2 linked regions of the Styela clava genome follow. The protein of the gene in region 1 purifies or fractionates together with the protein of each later gene. This does not show direct contact. Links are inferred from orthologs where the notes say so. Each region holds a gene or a part of one and is shown on either strand. Other genes may lie near its edges.

The links.
Region 2: the proteins of E3 ubiquitin-protein ligase RNF185-like (region 1) and transmembrane and ubiquitin-like domain-containing protein 1 purify together in Homo sapiens (affinity purification with western blotting; 3 studies listed by BioGRID and IntAct, with this or other methods). This does not show direct contact. The link is inferred for Styela clava from reciprocal best matches to the Homo sapiens genes RNF185 and TMUB2.

The regions. Positions count from the first base shown.
Region 1 is NC_135251.1:12,012,112-12,023,377, forward strand, and holds E3 ubiquitin-protein ligase RNF185-like, read right to left. Parts: upstream 5,229-11,266; 5' UTR 5,174-5,228; coding exon 4,613-5,173; 3' UTR 2,020-4,612; downstream 1-2,019. Other genes in the region: tumor protein p63-regulated gene 1-like protein, read right to left, coding at 1,232-1,326, 1,851-1,976. UniProt on the Homo sapiens protein: E3 ubiquitin-protein ligase that regulates selective mitochondrial autophagy by mediating 'Lys-63'-linked polyubiquitination of BNIP1.
Region 2 is NC_135252.1:10,063,481-10,074,515, reverse strand, and holds the start of transmembrane and ubiquitin-like domain-containing protein 1, read right to left. Parts: upstream 4,818-11,035; 5' UTR 4,579-4,817; intron 4,370-4,578; 5' UTR 2,717-4,369; coding exon 2,583-2,716; intron 1,822-2,582; coding exon 1,727-1,821; intron 1,582-1,726; coding exon 1,435-1,581; intron 1,289-1,434; coding exon 1,171-1,288; intron 725-1,170; coding exon 459-724; intron 1-458.

The sequences.
Region 1 (11,266 bases):
CTGGTGAGCCGCGGTGTGCCCACCCCTGACATAAGATATACTTTCACAATGGAAAAGGTAAAGCATTATTAGCTTATGCTGTTTCAATTTTGTTTCGTTTGGACATGTGAGGAGTGAAAAGTAATTGGTTGCTTTAGACCAGTGGTTTCCAACATTTTTGGTGGAGAGGGATCTCATGAAAGGGTCCAGAGGCTCGGGGAACTACTGTCCACTAGTTTAATTGCCGTATGCGAAAAACATCATTTGAATAATAAAATAAACTGTAAATATATATGAAAGCAAACCTAATACTGGCAAAACAAAACAAGTTTAATTATAGTGGCAAAGGTATTTTATTATATTTAAACGATATACATAGGCAATATTTAATAATGAATGGAAACTTGTGGAACTGCGGACTGTGCTGGCGAAACCCTGGCGTTCTTCGTAACCCCGGCTGAAAGCCACTGTTCTATAGTATAGAAGCATACAGTTGAATCATGCATAAATTTCGGTTTGGTTGGTTACCAGACCTAGTCGAATATGTGAACAGATAGCCAGCTCCATTCTTTTAAAATGTGGAAAATTTCTGTCGGCACTATGTGCCGAATAATAGAAATTATGGCAATCAAAACCAAAGAATCACAAGAAAATACCACTTGGAATAAGGGTGGGTTTCATCATTAGTATATATGTATTTGCAATGTGACTATTTGTGAAATTGTAAACACAAAAATGATCTTGAAAGTACTGCCAGAAGCAAACTGGAATACTAATGGCATATCTATAAAGTATTACCATGCAAATAATGAATTGATTTTCTAATCAATTAGAGTGAAAACCCTTCACCAAACTCAACTGTATAATAGGCTACACAAATTATTGTCATGTGTTACATCATTTGGCGCTCCAGAAGTGTGCATACCAATATGGAGGTAACTAATTTTGTTCGCCTACTTTACATCAAATTGCATAACGGGACGGTAGCCTATGGGTAGGGGGTATATTTACTTGGCTAACACAGACAGTTCTCGAACTCGTAATAGAACAAAAGTAGGGAAAATCAGAATAAAATTATGCCCTGCCCCTAACCCTAACGTGGTACACTCACGACGGGAGTACCCATCATTGAACTTGAAATAAACTAACAAAACTAAGTATAATACCCATGCACTATTGATAATAACAATCATACAATGTAAGTATTGATAAGCAATTTGGTAATATACAGTTAATTATTTAACATATTTACTCTGTTAGAAGCCATCTTCCAAGGACCAATCCATCAATTTCTTGATTCAACTGTTGGTTTTTCACATCTTCCACTGCCATGTCCAGATTATTGCCCTATGGACAAGATAAATGTTTTAGTTAATTATTAAAATAGTAAATGTGGGCTTAGAATAATGATGGTTCTTTTATGCATAGTATATTCAAAAACTTATACAATTTGGTCATTTTTTTTGGATTTTTTCTAATTACTCAAGTAACAAGAAATGAAAATTCACTAATAATAGAACATTTATGAATCAGGCCTACATTGCTTTTGATTTGTTAACAAGTCTTATGATTAAATCAAAGAAAGTCTCTCACGCAAAATTGAGACATGGTCATGATTAAGGATGTTGCTAACTTGCTATCACAGAGTTTAATATTTCGAAATTTCAACTCGCAAATAATTTTGATCCTAAATAAGATATGTTACGGTAAATAAAAATCATGGTGCATGAAGAGAAAAGCAAAATTTTAGCATAAAATTGGTAAATTTTACATTTGAAACAGTAATTTTCATATCTGAATTTAAAAAATGTTAATAACTATAATAATGAAAAAGTATGCTGAAGCCAATATACCGGGAGGTAACAACCTACCCTTGTCGCAAAAAATTTGTCTGCAACATGGTGTGTAACAATTCCTCCTCCTGGTACGGTTTCTCCATTCGGCATAACAGTCACCAAGTCTGGATTATGTGTGGTATGGTCGACAGGCTCTTGCATTTTTGTATTTTATCGATCAATTTTAAAAGTAATAATTATGAACCTATACACAAAACAAAAGAGTGACAATTGGACAATCTGGGAGAAAGCAAAAACGAAATTTTATGGACTGAAAGAGTATCAATCCTGCAATGATAGACATTTATTATAAAATCGACACTTCATTATTTGAATGCAACAATTCTAATTTCTATACATACACCAGGGGGTGCAGCCAGGATTTTTTACCGGGGGGGGGGGGTCACATTGGCATTAAAAATGCAACAAAGGTACAATGCACGGCTCAAACTGAGAATTGTGTGTCGTTACCGGCGGAACGCCATTGAATATATTCCAGTATTGCTTGTAACTCGCCTCGCAGAAATTAAAAATTACATTGCATCAAAAAAATCTTCAAACGGGGAGGTTGGGGGTTATGACCCACGTAACCACCTCCCACTAGCTTCTCCCTGACATACACTACAATCTGTAATAAGCAAGTTCGCACAAATTCAATGAGCATTAGTTAAATAAAACATTGCACAACAAATCTACTCTTAATGTAATATGAAAATGAATTGCATGGTAGCAAACCCAGTATTACCTTATGAACATATAATTCTGTACTTTCATAACAACATTTATCAAAAAAAAAATAATAAAAAACATGAACAGTATTATTATGTTATTCAGTCACAGATAATAACAGCACAGCAAGCATGAAATAGTCCTTATGCGAAATAATAGAAACATCAAAATATACTTGAACACCCTTCCGTTTACTATAACACTTGAAGATACTTTGTGTGAACCAAGGCAGAGGAGCCGTAACATTATGTTAGAGGTAAAGCTAAGCTTACCATAATTGGCTACCCAAAATTTTAGTGGCTTCAGCTCCTAATTATTTATCACATTTATACTTCTTACTCTTACAAATAACAATATTTTTAAAATTCAATTTCTAATATTAATTCAAAGTTCCGAGTTGAACTTGAGATTGATTTGCGTTGATATTTTATGGTAGTGATCAAAACAAAAAACACCAGTGGGTAGGAAGCTGGAGCCCAGCCCTGACGTGAAAAATTATCTCAGTTCTGTGTGAACCACATTGAATAATTTAGCAGTTAGCAACAATCGTTAAACTGCTAGATAAATTCCAGTTACCACCCATACATCTGTTTCAGTAATTCATCAGTCCCGGTTTGTATATTTCTTCCTACTCAGAAAAGACATGATGCAATCCATAAAAAGGCCTAACTTCAAAATAGCTAATCCATGCTAGATGCTATATTAAATCTGACCAGGTAATGGATTAGGATTTTCTGTTATGATTAACACTGACATTTGAAAATCATTACAACCAGGGCTGGCCAAAAACGAATAGCCTACCATTTGCCTACACAAAGTTCTGGATGAATTTAATTTACATATTCCCTATTGATCTCTATCATTCCTATTTATATGGATACAAAAGTTCAAATGACAAATAAAAGTGTTTTCACAAAAAAATAGAGATTTAACTTTTATTTTTTAATGTTCTCTTTTATTAAAGTGATATTGGTCTGATAATATTCGAATCGTTTTCAATCTCCTTTATGCCAAATCAGATGAACAATAAAATTGAACTAATACAAAGCAATTATGATGAGCTAGCGGTATATAATCAATACACACCGAACATTTCCTATTCATTAGGACAGAGACATACAATGAATAAAAATCGCACAATCTGGAATTCTAGTGAAATATACCCATGAATCTTATATGGTTTTTGTGAAAACGAAAAATTAATCGTAAACAGAGAAAGTGAAACAGAGAAATTGATAATGTGACAATCACTCTACAAATTCATGACTTTTTTCAATATCATGAGTTAATCTATAATTCCTATTTATATGATTACATGGGTCAAGTACCAAATAAAAGTGTTTCAAAAGGTTCCGATAAAAATAGGGTTCCAAAAGACTCAACAGAGAAAACAAAAGTTCAGCAAATCGATGTACATGTACACTTTGTGTCGAATTGCGATAGTAGTAGTAGTTTTTCTTAAGCACTATGAAGTATGAATAATATGAAACCGTTAGCTAATTGAAAAATTTGATTTGTAGGTTTTTTTTATCAAACACAAATCCAAAAATAAAGATTTGCTGTTCAATGCAAAGTTGATCGAAGAATGTGTTTGACTTAATTAACAATCAATAACAAAAAAGCACAAGGTAATAAACAACATATTTCGTATCAGCTATGTACATTAATAAAAATCGAACCCCACTGTAACTACGGTAGTTAAAAAATAATTTACGCCAAGTGACGACTATGAAGCACTATACACCATGCAAGACACTGCCTACTTTTAATATCAGATTCTCAGTTGGAGCTAGTTAACCCTAGTGTATGTTATCATTGTATGAAGCAACTCTTATCAATATGTCAATATTTTCAATTACTCGACTTCTATTTTCATTTTTTATTTCACATAATGCATAGCTATTATTATTACGTAAATAATTATAAAGTTCTCAGATTTTAATAAATGAATGTCCTTTACAATTATTCTATTTTAACATAAAATTCTTCAAAATATTTAAAAAAGTGCGGTCGTTTTTTCCCAGACTTACCGTTATAAATTAATTACGATTAAACTGACAATCACAATCTCATGCATATAATAACCAGAACATTAATATACAAGCAATTCCAAGGAAGATTCTCGACAGCATTTGTTCATCTTGATAATTAGGGTTATCTGGCCTCGGAGGGGGAGGTCGGCCGTCATTTATGTTAAAAAACGTTCCGAAAAGTCCAAAGGGAAAAGCACCAATACCGAATGACATCTGAAATCCGCCATCACCAAAATTAAATCCGTGAAATCCATTCCTATTTTCTGGCTCTGGTCTCTGAGCTTGTGGCCTTTTAGGAATCTTATTCCGTGGATCTTCCTGCTTGGTGCTACCTCGTCCGTAAAGAGGAATAACTTTGTCTCTATCGATTCCAGCTTTGCATACTGGGCATTCCTGTCGATGTGGTCTTGTTTCCAACCATTGAAGAAGACATGGCCAACAGAATAAGTGTCCACATAAACTAATGACAGCATCATTAGCTTCATCTAAACATATATTGCATTCAAATTGGCTGTTTTTATTCGCAGAAGCATTAGATGGTTCACTCGATGAATTTTCTCCATTTACTTCTTCGGATTTTGGTGTAGACTCGGCCATTGATATGTAATGTTCAGAAAGTTCTAAGTAATTAGTTTGATTCTGTCGAAAATATTAAGATGATTATGAAATGTCGTAACCTAAGCATTCGTTTTTAATAATATTTGTTCACAGTAAAAAAAAAGTAAACCTAATCATTTGCAAAAATTTACTCCTAAGTAAAGTCAAGAAAAACGACACTCATATAGATGAAAATACATAAAGTTTTTTGCTCTTGTCGCTGTGTTTAATCTTTGGCCATTTCGCTCATTTTAATGCGCATAGCCGCATTCTCTTCTCTTGCCTGATTTGAAACGTACACATTTTAGATTAAAATGGTGTTGTTAATGGAAGTGGTCATGTTTGCTCACTCAAAGGTAATAAATTAATTGAAACATGCGCGCACATACATACATCTATACATACAGACATACAATCACGCAGACAAAATAAAATCAGAAGGGAAAAAAAAAGAAAAACATTAGACCGCCATCGGGTGCGAATGTGGTATTAAACAGTGGAGTACCGGAGTAAGAAATTTCAAGACTAAAACTTGGAAAACCGGACAAACAGGATTGAATACAGACTAGCTTGTATATCATTTATACATTGGAGCTGCTTTAAAAAGATTTGCGTTGATCATTTGTTGACAGCAAGCTCCGGAATGTTGGACTTTGCTAAGACTAAAACATTTACTCCAATTTCTACGTATTCGAACCAATTTTGTAACATACAGACATACGAAGCAACGCCCAAAACTAGTTTTCATGTTTGTTGTTTAGCTTTATTTGTTTACAAAAAACAGCAGCTAATCAATTATTTGTTATTATTGGTATTCACATTTCGGCACAGGCACCGTCACATAACTATTTGTTTTTATATTCTACACAGCTTTCACTCATCAAAATTAGTAAGCTTCGCCCGTGAAATTCATTTTCTGGTGATCATGTACTTCGTTCATTAATTTATTCTAGTATGATTGTCATGATGTGTAATCATTTTCCTGTTTTGCCCATTTTCCCGACCTTCCAGTTGCCCTTGTCTGTGTTTTGTTATTTTAATTTGTGTTGTAGACGAAAGATCGAAATAAGGATAGGATTCACATATTTATCTCGGGAGAGAGGAAAGGAAACAAGACGGCTAATCATATGGCGAACCACGGCAGCACGGCCTCTCGTCCGGTTACCAGTCCAGGTCGGGTATGGGATTAGTTAGCCAGTTATTTTGTTTTCGAAGCATGGATTTGATGATGAAGGAAGCCAGGAAGCAGTAAACGACCAGCGGTTACGTGAACCACCCTATGGCGGTGAGGAGTCCAGCAATCCTCTCGCACATGATCATCCCCGCATCCGCATGGGATTCAAACCTGCGAACCCACGCAGGGTGCGGTACCGTAAATCAGAGATGTGGTGGCGAGTGTATTCCTAACACTTAGCACGATGTGCCACAACGTCGAAGTAAAATTGTACCGCACCGTATATTAAGATACCGGTACCGGTACCGGTATAGACCTACTATTACTGTATTACTTCTGCACTTTAGTACCGGTACTTGGAAAAAGAGAAATAGACAAACGAAACAAAACAAAGAAAGAAAATACAAATTGGGTCACACCATATTCCAGTATTCGGCAGGATGCCAGTATTCAGGTACCGGTACCGTAATACAGTACGGTGCCGGTACCGGTACAGTACCGGTATTACCGTAATACCTAATCTTGTACCGGTAAGGATTGTCGTTACCGGTACCATAAATCTGTAAATGCTGACGGCTTCCTCCACCACCAAGTCCATGCTTCCGAAAAACAAACAATACAGTAAAACTAATCCCATACCCGACTTGGAATGCTAACCGGACGAGAGGCCGTGGTTCGCCATATGCATAAGCCGTCTTATCGGCTTTCCTCTCCCCCTGGATAAATATGTAAATCCTATCCTATCCTGACCAAAACCACGCTTGGGATTTGCCAAATATCCAACTGAAATATTATACGAATCATCGACACACAATCTGAACCTTCAATCACAGTTAACAATCTTACAGATTCTTAGATATGAACAGGATGAAAGCGAGCAGTCGCAGGCATGTGATCAACAACACGTCATAAATTCACAAAAATTGATCACGGTCTGCTCGACAAGTAGAATCACATGAAAGACAGTCATCACTGAGTTTTTTGGTCATTATTGGACACGAAATCTAGATAAGATAGACTTTTCCCCGGTCCTTCCTTGACCCCTGAAATATTCTCCCTGTACTTTGGTTGAGCCTGGCTGGATGTTTGTGACCTGTCGGATATTGGATTAAGTTAGGGTTGCCATATTTTCGTGACATCAAAGCAATGGACCTTTCCCCGAGCATGGACTTCCTTGTTTACTTCGTGACATTGGCCAATCAGCAAGATGCAAAAAGTGACGTAACAATGCCCCCTTTTCGCATTCGCTCAGACACTTTTCTCACTCAGACAGATTTTCAAGCGTGATTGTAAACATTACCTCGTTTTCGCGTTTTTGAACTCTATTCGTTAGTTTTCAGTTGTGTTTTGGGAACTTAAATAAAAATCAGATAATTCAATTCAATTCAATGTTAGTGGAAACAAATGGAATACAAAAATTAGAAACAATCAACATCCTAATTGATGGACAACGAAATAATAGACTACTTTGGCATTGCTGTACAGGCTACCCAAGATTCCAATTTTACATATTTGCTTTGCAAAGAACTAAGGAAAAAGAGATGGACAGGCATTTTCTATGAAACATTGCACCTAGCACACTACAGCACATCACAACGTCGGATTTTATTTACAAAGAGGAAATCAACCAAAAGACATTTCGATTTATTTATTACTCATTCTGACACTGCTTTTATCTAACTCACTAGTTCGCACTTGTTTACGCCAATTTAATAAACACAGCCCGAATCATGTCCATTTCGACGTAAACAGTTTTAAATTAGAACCTACGCACCTGCATTTTGTTTGTAACACAAGTTAGACGCCCGGACGTTGGAACGATAACACGTTCGTGTTTTTATCTTTTTTTTGTAATATGTTTGTGAGTGTAATATCATGGGTGAACAGGCACATGTATTTATACGTGTTTTAAACCCTACTCGAGGTTTTGCCTGTTTTCCCGATTTCCCATTATTCTGTGTGTTTGTTTTATGTGTTCATTATTTGTTATGTGTATGTTTTTTTGGGGAAATCAAAATAAAGATTATTATTATTATTATTATTATTATCACTCTGTCTTTCTAGGAGTTTTAATTTAATTGCAGTAATAAAAATTAGGCTGTGATAGACTAGCCTGAAATTCTTTACCGGTACTTTTAAAAAACAGATTGTTGTATGCGATGAATCATAATGATGGTTTGAAACACATACCCCATTTTACAGACGCCAACTCGCAAAAGCACTCTTGAAATAGCCTTGACAATTTTGCAATGGTAAAGTATAGGGAGAATTTTCCGAGGGTCAAAGGTCGGGGAAAGGTCCATAGACATCAATCATGATGGCCATGGGCCGAAATCTGTAAAGCGCTTAAAAATCGAATTCGTGGTGACCCTCGAGGGGGAACCTAAATTTTGGTGGGTCAAAATGCTAAAAGCCTAATTTACTAAATATAAAAAATTGACATCTCCAAAGTGGAGCATTACGTCACAATTAACGATGACGTCAATTGCCCTTTCAACCCATATATACCATATAATATTCTACTTAAACCTGAGATTTGTACGTACAATACCTTCTATTTTTTTAGCTTTAAATTTTACATTAGGGGCCTACATTTACATCCCCCCCCCCCCCCCCCCACGGCTGTCTTCATTGACTATATTGTCATCGAAAGTTCATGCGACAAAACGTTGAAGTTATTCAATTATGTAACACGATAAATACATCTGCTACAGATTATTACATTAATAAAATTTGCACAGAAATATGAATAAGTTACTCGTTAAATCTTGTATCCATTGATTATGTTTGTTAGCTTCATTTAAAATTCGCCTTTCCGGTTCGTCATGAAAGCGCTCCGTTAAATCTCCCACGTGTCAGAAGCCTAAAATCGACACCGGTATTTTTTTGTTCTTCGTACTTTTTATGTACAGTGGTTATTAATATTTCTCTGTTTATACCCGAGGCCGTAAGAAAACAGTCAAGAACAGTATAATATTCCACGGCTTTCCTTGGCATCCAGTAAGATATGAACCTGATGTGAGCCTACAGGAGGTCACGATACCCGCAACAAAAGCACGGGCCGCAGAGATCTTTTCTCGATTACAGTATACCCAGCGGGATTTCGTGCCTGATTCCAAATCAAAGATGTGTTTAGTTTGTTCCCAAGTTCTTTTCAATACTCACTGCGGACATACGTACTGCAGAAACTTCCTGATGCCTCGTTTGCCTTTTATATTGGAAACGAAACAGAAGCAAAATTCTCACTCGTGTTAATTGTGTCTGAGTATGATTTGGCATGGACCTGCTTTCTTTATATAAAATGTTTTCTGTGTGCTTTTTTACCCATAGACGAACAGTGAGTGCCCGACGTTGTATTTATTGTGCATATATATGTTATTATTTTATGTTTAATTCATGAAATATTTTGCCAATCCTCGAGTACATTTTAATCAATTTCACCGGCCCGTCAGGGTGAAAAGATTGGGAACCTGCTCTAGATGAAGTTGGGACAGACTATTTATTACCACAGCTTATGGCGACCCACTTAACTTTAATTTGATTTTTTTTATGACATAACACAGCAATGGCTAATCATCGCAAAACTAACGTGTTTCCTCGAAATGAAGACCTAGTCTGAAAATAAGATAATAATTTGAATTTTCAAAATGATTTTAATTAAACCCTACCCTTAAAATAAATTTAAAATGTGTGGAAGAGGAAAGGTTCATTGGCCCGAGGTAAGATAAAGATCACACCACTGTTCAAGATTGTGTGATATCACAATTATGATATTTTTCACTTGATTTTTGTATAGGAAATACAAATAAAAACAATAGATGTCGGTTTTTATATGATGTTTAGTGAAAATCTTGTGATTTTCTACAATTCAAATTTTATTTTTGATAAATGAACACAAAAGAGCTCTTCCAAAAAAAATAGTGTTATTCTTCAAAAAAAAATAAATCTAAATCCTGTCTAAATTTCGGGGAAACACGATAAGAAGTGCTGTATAGCGTACAAAACTGCTATGCTTGAAAAAGCCACATGGTCATTCTTTGTCTAGCAATATTTTGTTACTTTGAGAAGATCGTGAAAAGGAAATTTTCACAGATTAGAATTTTAATTTAATTTCTTTTGTTTTTTAGAAGATTTATTACAACAATATGTTGGTACCATCTGGTCCATTCATAAAACATGATAAAGTTTAAAACAACTTAATTATGATTTTACTGTAATAAAACAACTAAATGATATTACTTAGCTTGAAACATACGTCTGTTATAGAAATACAGTTTATTAAAAAATTTCCCCCAATTTGCTCAGAAATTTTGCAACACCATATTGCGTTTTTTAAATTGAGTTACTGATATATCTTTGTATAAATAAAACGGGCAATTTATAATAATTTCCGCTTTGATTCATTAGTTATATATTCCATGAAAAATTGAGTCTGGTATCAGTTAATCTGTTTTATTGCATAATAATTATTGGATAGACCAGGAGCTGCCAATATATTGATGACATGAGTTTTCGTCGAAATATTTCAAGTTATTCAATTATGTAACACGATAAATACATCTGCTGCAGATTATTACATTAATAAAATGTGCACATAAATATGAAGTTACTCATTAAATCTTTTTATCCATTGAAAATGTTTGTCAGCTTCTTTGTTTCCCCATAAAGTTCTTAGATTGCAATAGTTTTATCATGCCAATCAGTATAACTTATGTACGATCGTTTCATCAAATGATTTTTATGTATATTTTGTATGTAAGTTCGATCAAAGAGTCAAATCTTGTTGTTGTATTCATGTACACGTTAGTGAACGAAACCATCGTTTTGCATTTTATGCTGGCACTATTCTTCTTCTAGTTGTTCTTTGTCACAGAAAAAATCGCCTTTCTCTTTGATTACTGGAACCATCGCTTTGAAAT
Region 2 (11,035 bases), on another chromosome or scaffold:
AACGATATTTATTAAAATATAATTTTAGTATGGCATTTCAATATTCATTCAACATTTATATTAGTATATCCATTTCAATATAATATAAAATGACTCCTAATCCTTCGATTTACAACATACAAGTGAATTGGAAAGGAAACCATATCCACCTATTCTTACTCTTCACGAACTACAAATAGCGTGACCCAAAATCAGAACCCCTAAATTTCCTGATTACTCCTAAAAAAACGAAAAAAAAGTTAACACCTGAACTTCTGTTATGTGTATCATAATACCCAAAAGTTTGAGCAACCTTGGATGCTTTGCACAAAAGTTGAGTCTTCTCTAGGAGAATGTTCCAAATGTGCTGGATTCAATTATTTGGCGTTACCCTATATTATTTTGGTAGAAGTAATTGTTCTCATCATATGCCAAAGCTGATGGCAAGCAAAAAAATAAATTTCAAATGAATAACTTGCCTAGTATTGGAAGCATGAAAGATCCTATGTGGAGTTCTTCTGCAACCATCTGCATTTGTTGTGAAGCACTACTAGCCATGTTAACACCTGCTTCGTTGGCAGGAGTAGCAGGTGACAGAAAACAGTGAATCATTGGTATAGTTGGATTTTCCCCAGTGGTATCTCCAACTAAATTAAACTGGCGTAAAGTCCGGCTTTGATCTCTCAAAACTTGTCCTCTATAAATTAATCTATATCGATTACGAGTATCAGAGGTGAATTGTCGGCTGTAAAAATTTAAATTGGTGTTTCAACAAAAACAACAGAATGCACAATGGCCCAGTAGTTATTGAAACATTGGACCTAACTGTATTGGCACTGCATCAGTACATCTCGGACACCCACCCAGGGTGTGAATAATTGTATGGGCAATGGTGACTGTGAAGATTCCGGTTTTTCCAATAATTTAGCTCCAGTGGCTGCTTGTACAGAGCCTTGTTCAGAGCAAAAGGCGTGAAATAAGTGACATATAAAAAAAAAATAACAGAATGCAATATATACTGCCTCAGAGGTTTTAATAACAATCAATAAAATGACAACACTGTTGTTATAGCCAGATTTTCAATTTCTCCACAATTTTCAACAATGCGATATCTTATTCGAATTCTAAACATTGCCCAATAATGACAAAATGAGGTATTACACCCAATAATATATTATAAAAGGTAATAACCTCATAAAATTTTCCAATGTCTCATCAGGATTAGCTTTCACAGTTTGTATAGTTTCATCCATAAATTTCAAACGTATTGTGATGCTTGCACCACCTTCAGCGGTTGAGGAAGTCGGTGCTTAATAAAAAGTTAAACAAATTAATCTAACTGATTAGATCACAGTTACTGATTTTGGAACATAGAAGACAATAAATAACACATTTTGTAAAAATTCAATATGGTTTTTGGAATTGTTGAAATTTATAATTTTTGAAAAGACTTACATTCCTGTGTCGGAGGTGTTTGTGCAGATGCTTGTGCATCATGAAGAATTCGATGTCTTAATACTGGAGCATCATTTGGTGATGAGTTGCTCACAACTGACTCATCTTGTGTGGGCCCAGAAGCATCTGAATTTGAAGAAGATTCTTCTGTAAAAAGATGAATAGATTTAGTATAGAAGACAATACTGATAATGATATGTTGATTTTGTCATTAATATACTGTTTTATGCAAGTACACTAACTGCTGAACTGGCTCATTGTTGAATAGGTTTTTAACTGAAAACATTTTTACCTGTCTGGACAGCTTCTGTTGGAACATTTGGTTGGGCTGATGCACTGTGTGTCTGATTCTCTACAGTTGCAGATGTCTGCTGACTATTTTGAAAACTGATAAACAGAATATAACATAGCATTGATGGAGATCTGATATTTTTGGTGAGGCTGTCCGGGGTGCGGAATGTGGGTTTATCATATTTTTATTTCTATTGGTGCCAAAGTTCAGGAGTTGTAATTCTGATTTTAAAACGCATCAAAGTCAGAATTTCAGGCTTCCAATGACAGAACGATAAATAAAAATTGCCAACAGAACTCAAAATCATTGAGTTGACTAAGCATTCTTAGAATGCAATTAGGAGGCTTGGCTTTACATCAGTTACATAGAAAAATTATGTTGTCTTGGCGATGGAGTCAAAGTTTTTGTCAACCAGTAGACTAGGCAGGATCATTTTTATAATACACGGCGTCAGGTCCAAATTTTAGCCAAAAAGCCCCGCCTTTTCAGCCAGAATTTAGGTATGAGCTTATAATTAGCAGAACACAGGAACAGAAACTAACCGAAGTAAACCACCACAATCCAGTCTTTGCCATTCCGATAAAGCATAATAAATGAAAGTGAGTAAGATCACAAAATATTTGTACCAAATCGACAGGATAACCGCGAAATGACCATTCGGTCTAGGCTACTTGTCATCGGCAACCTTAAAATAGCTTTAAACTTATGGCTACAAAATTTGCACTACGCAAAACGTTCATACATCAGTATTATAGTCTAATTATCAAGTTTCATTCGACCAATTTAAAACTCAAAATATTAGAACACAGTAGTTCAACCTACAGATTTAAAAAAAATATTAATCTTAGTCACTCACCTTTCAGTGGTTCCACTGGAATCGCTCACTCTCGTGGACAACCACGATACTATGACGACAAAAACTGCTACGAGAACGCCTAACAATACTGTTACCTCATCGCCAATTCCGTCAATCAGGTAAGACGACGACATGTCAAGAAGAAAATATGCAACTAAAGCAAAATTCACTATAGTCTACTCATAAACCCCTATTTCTGCATTTGGCAACGTAAACCGGTACGAGATACGGTATATGTAGTTGTCACTAGTTAGTAGTTACAACTCGACTTTTCTCAGCTGATTAACACGTGACTACGTTGTTGTTACTTCACTCTGTGGTTAGATTATCTGCTTTTGCGTTTCCTGAATACAGGAATTTTTGTGCTTGGCTAATCCAAAAAAAATCAAGTTATTATATGTCTAACGTTAAATTTGTCTCTCACAAAGGCAACATCAAGACAGTGTGGGAAACAATTAATGAACCAGTTGGTAAAAATAAGACCAATTAGGGACATTCATAACCTTTGACCTGTTGCGACTTGATGCAAAAAGAAGTGACGGCTGCGATTTCTTGCTCTGAAAGCCGACGCAGCTAGGTCTGACTTCAATCAATCATTTATTTTGGTTCTTTGACATAAACAATACAAAAAGTAAACAGACAAACAAAATGCAGAGATACCTGAGAGACGGGCATAACTTAAAAAAAGTTAAATAGCGTATAATGTACGAGCCCGCCCACCAAAAAAGAATAAAACAAACACAGAAAAACGCGATTTACAATCGGGCAGTACTTTGGAAACAATTTAACAAAAACAGCCAATTAAAGTAAATAATGGGATGCAATAAACTTCTACCTTCTAAATTAAAATGTGAGACGTGTATGTGTAACGTAGTAGTATATATTTATGGTGTAACAGTATATATTTACGGTGTAACACAACAGTGCTTTTCCTACAAGAACATGGAACAAAAAAACACTCCCTGACGCAAAACGGTGATGCTGTAGGCCTAGTTCAATTTCACTGCAAAAACAACACAGTGACAAAAATTGTCATCTAAAATAAAACAAGAGAGCTATGCTCAAATATATGGACACGTAGAGTCACATAATTTTGATGACGTCATAGCGAAAAAAAAGTAATAGCCTTCTGGAAAAAATTTTTATCTTTAACCACTGAAAATTTCAAAGCAATTGGTCCAGTATTCGAAGAGAAAAGCCATTTCTTCAAAACGTGTTGATGGAGACAAATGATAACAATAACAACAAAATTTTGAAACGATCGTTATGTCCACTACAGGTGCTTATGAATACAGGTGCCAGTGGTACGGGTAGCAGCTCAAAAAGGCTGACGGACAACTCGACTACACGGACAACTCACCAGAGACAACTCGACTACCTAGAGGCCTGGTGAGTTGTCCGTCTTTTGGCATTTTCTATGGTGGTGTTTAAGGTCTATGGAAATGCGTTTTTGATATTTTTAGTGCTCGAATGTTGAGAAAAATAAATAAATATGCTCTAGAAAGCATTTTTATTTGTATAGGTGGCTTTTTTGATCATGTTGTATGAATACAAATACAGTCTGTAGGCGCCAAATCGGAGTCGCTATCTAGCGCCAACACGCGTTAACGGACGGTTGCTCTCTGAATCGTTTCGAGACTCCACAATAAAAATACGCGTACAAATCGCCTTTTGAAATTTCTTGTTGTCACGAAAAAGGTACGTTTAAAATGCAGTGTACGTACGATTGAAATTCAATTACAGTTGAAAGTACGAATCAGTATACAGTTGTCAATTTGTACGGTTTTCTAAACAGAAATGGAAAACAGTCTCAAAATATGTCACACAATAAAACTTACCAAACATCTAACCAATTAGCACTTAAAAGGCACAATATTTATCAATTTAGAATCACAAATTAATTGAAAAAGCCAAAAATACAGCACAATTGTTTACCTTAAAATTGCAGTTTCATATCACTAAATAAAGCATAAAATACGATAAATCAAAGACTTACTTGACGATGTAGCCTTCAACTCAAAGAACAACCAATTATTTGACTGGAAGCTATTATTTTAATTAGCTCTATATTTGATCAGATCTAACAAATAAACACACAAAATATCATGAAATAACTACTTGCAACTGTTTTCCTAGCCTACTGAGAATAACGAACATCTAAACGCGAATAGAGCTGGGAAAGATTCAAAGGTAACTTTTACTAAATATATGACTTAAAAACCCGGTTCCTAAGAGACCTTAAACAGCTAAAAATCTAACAAAACTGGAGAGCAGATAATCACTGCCAACATTCCCGCCCAGAAAGCAGCGAGCGAAAGAACGAGCGTTGCCAGAAATAAGCAACAACACAAAGAGAGCTGGCCTAGCAACACAGGACAAATTAGCATAATTCTATGTTCTAATTCGTTAACAGTCTGCAAATCGGGGTAGGTTGTCATCAGGAAAATATCATAAATTACACTAGTACTAAACCCTACTTGAGCAGCATTAATTATGCCCAATACAAACCTAGAAATAATTACAAAACAATACTAGAAACATGGCAACATCAATGTGTGAGGTTATGTTGCAATCGCAGAATACGCAAATCACAAAATCAGTCAAGTGTGAAACAAACGAAAACAAATGCGAGGCGGTTTCACAGTCTATAGACGAAATTGGAGTAACGTTAGCGAAGTTAGACTGTTGACTTATAGGCAGGGTTGCCATATTGTGCTTATTTCTAAGATTTGTGCTTATTTTCTAGCCCGCGTCTTATAAAGTAACAATGTGCTTATTTCTAAGAAAAGAGCTTATTTTTGAGTTGCGTGCTTATTTTCTCTTAGAAACGTGAATGGCTAGTAGACAACTAGTAAGCGTAATCATGAGTCCTTGTTCGAATATGAAAAGGAATTTGCTAATAACTACTACTATTGCGACATTGAGAAAGGGGGAGGTAATCAGTGTCCCCAATACTACCACAACACATAATAAGCATTGCGGGAATCCAAAGTATTAGATCAGGGGTCGGCCACCTGCGGGTCATATCCGACCCGCGGACAAAAATAAATCGGCCCGCAATGCTTCACTGAACTTACGGATCGTTATTATGTTGGTCTTGTTCTCCATTGTGAATTCTTTTTCCCATCGTTATAAAAAATCGCTTTTGTTTTCAATTACTGAACCAATATAAAATTTTCCGTTCGGAGAACTTGGATTGGTGAATGTAGAAAATGTTCTGATTTTGGTTTTATCCAGTGTGTCACCTGATTTCGAAAAGGTATCAAACGTAATGCAACAAATAATATTAGTGTTACATTAAATGGTATTTGTAAATATTTTGCACGACTTGAGTCCACGTGTTGTAGCAGTGTTCGCTCGCTAATTAAAGTCTAGAACTTCAATTTCTAATCTGTGTAAATAATGTGGTTCATCAGCCGCCCGTTCAGTTTTTAACTTTCTCGAAAAAATATGTGCGGCCCGCCAAGATTCGTAACACTTGATTTTGGCCCGCGAGCGACAAAAAGTTCCCTGCTTTAGAGATTGCGTGTGGCAGTGACTCCATAGCTTTTTGCAATTTCGGAGCTGCTTACAACCGTGTTCGAAGCGACTTCTAATGATCAAAATTGGAAGACTCGTGTATGATCTCCTTCTTGACGCCCGTGCTTATTTTTGGCTCTGGGTAGATGGCAACCCTGCTTATAGGACTGTGTTCGTTTGATTTTTTGAACTTTATTGGTATTAAAAGTTTTGAATGAGCACCTTTAAATATATTAAAACCTTTATACTTCACAGTAACACTTAAATATTTATGAATGTGAGCTCAGTAGTCTATGATTGCAGTAGTCTGAACTCGACTACGGCAGTCGCCCGACAGGCCGTCAACTCACCAGTCGAGCAAACGCTCTACGACGTGACGTCATCGATGCTCGAGGTGAAGACAACTCGACTACCGAGCAACGAGAGGCAGGCAACTCACCAGCCGAGCAATCGCTCTGCGATATCGATGCTCGAGGAGAAGACCTTGCTTTGCAAAACGCAGACTCAAGAGTTGCATAGCATTTACTTAGTGCCGACTGATATCAGTTGTAAGCCAACTCACCGCCTGAGTAGTCTACCAGCCGACGGCTAGGTTCCATCTGCTGGGATACAACAATCGGGTTGGAGTTATGATGGGTGTCATGGGCCTGGTAGCAGTCCGGGTACTTCCACTCAAACGTTACGTCCTGTTTTTTTAATAGGCTGTACTGTTCCCTTGTCATTGCCACATCTGAATTATTAAAACACTTGCGATGAAACCAATTTCGACAGACGTCACAGATGAGTCCCTCCTGTTTCATGGTAACGTTGTCGTCACATTTTTGGAGTAGTCATCTTGAATTCTTGCGTAGTTTTTGTGGAGTTAATATACCGTTAGTCGTCCTCGTTTCAGTATAAAACTGTGATGAAAACGACCTCGGCTAATGAGTATTTACGTTTGTAGGGGGCAGGCCGGCGATAATGAGGCTTTAAACTCGGCGATAACCGAGCAGTAATCTCGGCGCGCGGCTTCATTATCACCGATCTGGTACCTTATCTAATCTCCGTGCATGGATATCACTTCACTCAGGCCATCATGAAGAATGTGCGTCACAATAATTTGGCTCGCCTATGCGACAAGTGAGTGGTTAACCATATTTATATATGTCTTTGTACATCTTTCACTTCTTTTGTATTAACATGTTTTTGTTTTAGGGACGCTGGAACAAGAGACCTGATCAAGCATGCCATGGCGCTGTGCTATATACCAGCTATGTTTATTACGTCCATATTCAAATCACTGAACGAAAAGATGCAAACTCAAGATCTTCGCCGAATATTTTCAAAACACATGGCTATACAACAGTGTCTGGACTCCCAATGATTGGTCAGTATTTGACGTAGAAATAAGAACCAACAATCATCTGGAAGGTTGGCACCGCCATTTTAACAGTATAACTCGGAAAAATATGCCTTTTTACAGTTTAATCTCAACAATGTACGAGGTAAGTATAGGGATAGAGGCGGACGTTGTGGGGCGTGTCAACGGCAGGTATGCGGAAGCCAACGAGAGGGTGCAACGTGTCTGGGAACAGAACAAGGAAAGAGAGTTATCTGTGGACTCTCTTCTTCGAAGGTGTTCAAGGATCTACGGGCCGCAGTATTGCAAAGAGTAAGTATGTAACGCAGCAAACGTTTAGTATTCAAATAAAATTCATTATTCGTAACGAAAAGGAAAACAAAACCTTCCATCCATTAAATTCCCCCATAACGTTTAGTATTCAAACATCATATTAAATTCATTAATCGTGACAAAAAGTAAACATCTTCTATCCATTCTTCGGCCCAGTTTCTTTGCCAGGCGCAGCGACAGTGCCTATCTGTTCCTGGTTTTATTCTGCAAAAAGAAATTCCAACTCTATGACTGAAACCTTGCCGTGGTGAGTTGGCTTACAACTAATATCAGTCGGCACTAAGTAAATGCTATGCAACTCTTGAGTTAGCATCTCTTGTTTTACAAAGCAAGGTCTTCTCCTCGAGCATCGATATCGCAGAGCGATTGCTCGACTAGTGAGTTGTCTGCCTCTCGTTGCTCGGTAGTCAAGTTGTCTTCACCTCGAGCATCGATGACGTCACGTCGCAGAGCGTTTGCTCGACTGGTGAGTTGACGGCCTGTCGGGCGACTGCAGACTACTGCAACCATAGACTACGGAGCTCACATTCATAAATATTTAAGTGTTACTGTGAAGTATAAAGGTTTTAATATATTTAAAGGTGCTCATTCAAAACATTTAATACCAATAAAGTTCAAAAAATTAAACGAACACAGTCCTATAAGTCAACAGTCTAACTTCGCTAACGTTACTCCAATTTCGTCTGTAGACTGTATTTGTATTCGTACAACATGATCAAAATAAGCCACTTATACAAATAAAAATGCTTTCTAGAGCATATTTATGTGTTTTTCTCAACACTTGAGCACTAAAAATATCAAAAACGCATTTCTATAGACCTAAAACACCACCGTAGAAAATGTCAAAAGACGGACAACTCACCAGGCCTCTAGGTAGTCGAGTTGTCTCTGGTGAGTTGTCCGTGTAGTCGAGTTGTCCGCCTCCCCTCAAAAAGTACCGGTATGCCAAAGTGAAAGAAAGTTATCTTATTTACTTCTGCAAATGTTACAAGGTAAGATTGGTTATAGCTTCGATCATTAATAATGACAGACTTATGTTGTAAAGCATATCACATTTTTTCAGATGTTCACGATTTGAATACCGATAATTACAGCAAAACCCCTCCATGCTCGAGCTCATACAACAGTCATCATAGACAGTTGCTGTATATTTGTACATGGATCATTTGATTGAAATACAAACCACATTTCTTAAGAAGACTTTGTCTGAATGCTGGGAGCCTGTCATTCCTATCTATAAGAAGTTACGGACAGAAGTTTTATTTGATTGAAATGGCAAGCACATCACCATAAGCGGAAGATCTGATTTCTGGGAATCTCTTAGTCCCAATTACGAAATGTCACAATCGGCAATTTGTGGTCAAATATAGACTTTTGCTATCCTAGATCTAAGTATACCCAAGCAAAGGTAAAGGACATTGCTTCGCCCACATATAGATCACGCCGATGCCCAGCGATTCTTCTTTTAAGGTGCAAATAACAAAATCGCTGTATTATCTTATCTCTCTCCTATCGTGATCGAGGCTGCCGAGTAGACTGCCGTCTGGGTCGGACGTGTTTTTGTTGCTCTGTTAGATGAAAGATCAATCAATGCTGTTGGACTGAGAATGCTACGCGCTGTGTGTTTCGGTATTTACTATTAGATTTGTATCTCGTGATATTAACATGATCAAAGCCCATCCACCGGAATTAAAGAAGTTTATGGATAAAAGATTGGATTTAAAGTTTGTGTTTGGCAGTCGTCGGGTGCGGTCGCATTTTTGAACGGCGCAGAAAGATTAGATTGACAACAATGAACCAGCACTTAAGGAATATCAACAAGTAAAGGCCGAAATATGAAATTACATGGCAGCATAAAGGCAACATACGGACATCATAACAGAATCGAAAGATGAATACAACAGGGATTGATTCAGATATTTTATTTTGTGACGAAGAGTATGATATACTGCTATTTCTAGAAATTCCGCTTGAATACTGAGTATTCAACTATATATGTGTAAATAGTTTGCAGTGTAACATTTTTAAACATTCATTTAGTGGCATATTTTTGATTTGTTCTCTCTGTGTGTATACCGGTACTGTTTTAACAATGTTGGCCACGTCAATGTATCAATTAGGCTACAGACCTGCTCACGCGTGATTAGTGTTTTCCTAATAATTGCTTTTATGAGTGTCCGCACATCGAATTTGCCGCCATGGTTTTGCGTTTGTTTGTATATTAAACCACTTATCACCTTTTCCGCAATGCCCAATCTAGCAATCAGTGTAGTTTTTCATGGCTTGGTTTTTCTTAAAGCTTTCATGGCTTCATGAGTATGACTATCGTCGCAAATTTATTACATTCCACTCCCCACATTATCTTTGCATGAGGTTGTAGGTATTGGTCATTATCAACGTAATTGTTGAAAGAGAGTACAACAGCCCGAAAGTTTATTACTATCGTGTATTTTGTTTTTTAAGTTTGGCCCAAGCCTCATTTAATTGGGCTTGTGTTTTTGTGTGCGTGCTGGTGGGCAGGCACATGAGATACTTCATGTTTTAAACTTTTTTGTAGGTTTTGCTTGCCCTCCAGAATTCTCCATTTTAAATTTAGGTTTGTTATGGAGTTTTCGAAATAAACTATCTATCTATCTTAATTTATTATAACAATTCAGCATTTTACACCATTCTTCCATCCCCAGCTAAAAATACTCAATGGAACTTATTAAACTTGTGTGTGAGATATAATTTTTTAAAATATGCATAAATACAAGAACACAACAGTGGTAGTTTTTCCTCTGTTACTAATTACATTTTTGCTGTCTTCAAGATTCCAGGCAAGAGTATATAATTGAAAAGTTTCTGGCTAATAGTTCAGTATTTCCTAGAGACTTTACTGGATTAGTTACGGTTCTCTCATTTTTAACATTTGTAAGAGCTTCTTTGGCATCACAAACTCCTTGCTCAAACAATTTCAGTAGAAACTAAGGATGCATAGTATGACTACTTCCAAGTATTCGATTTCTAAATTATCGATTCCGATTCTCGTTCCTCGACATATCTTACCGAGAAAACATGCCCACTTAAACAATATATGAAATGAAACATGAGATTTATGTCCAAATATATGGAGGCCAAGAAGGCCGAAACTGAGTAGTGTGGGTATTCAATCTGTCACAAAAGACAAAATCGCACAAAAAAAAAAACGAATCCCTCAGAACCCACAGAGATTTTAAAAATAAATAAACGTAAATGCCTTCTAGCGAAAATTATATATATA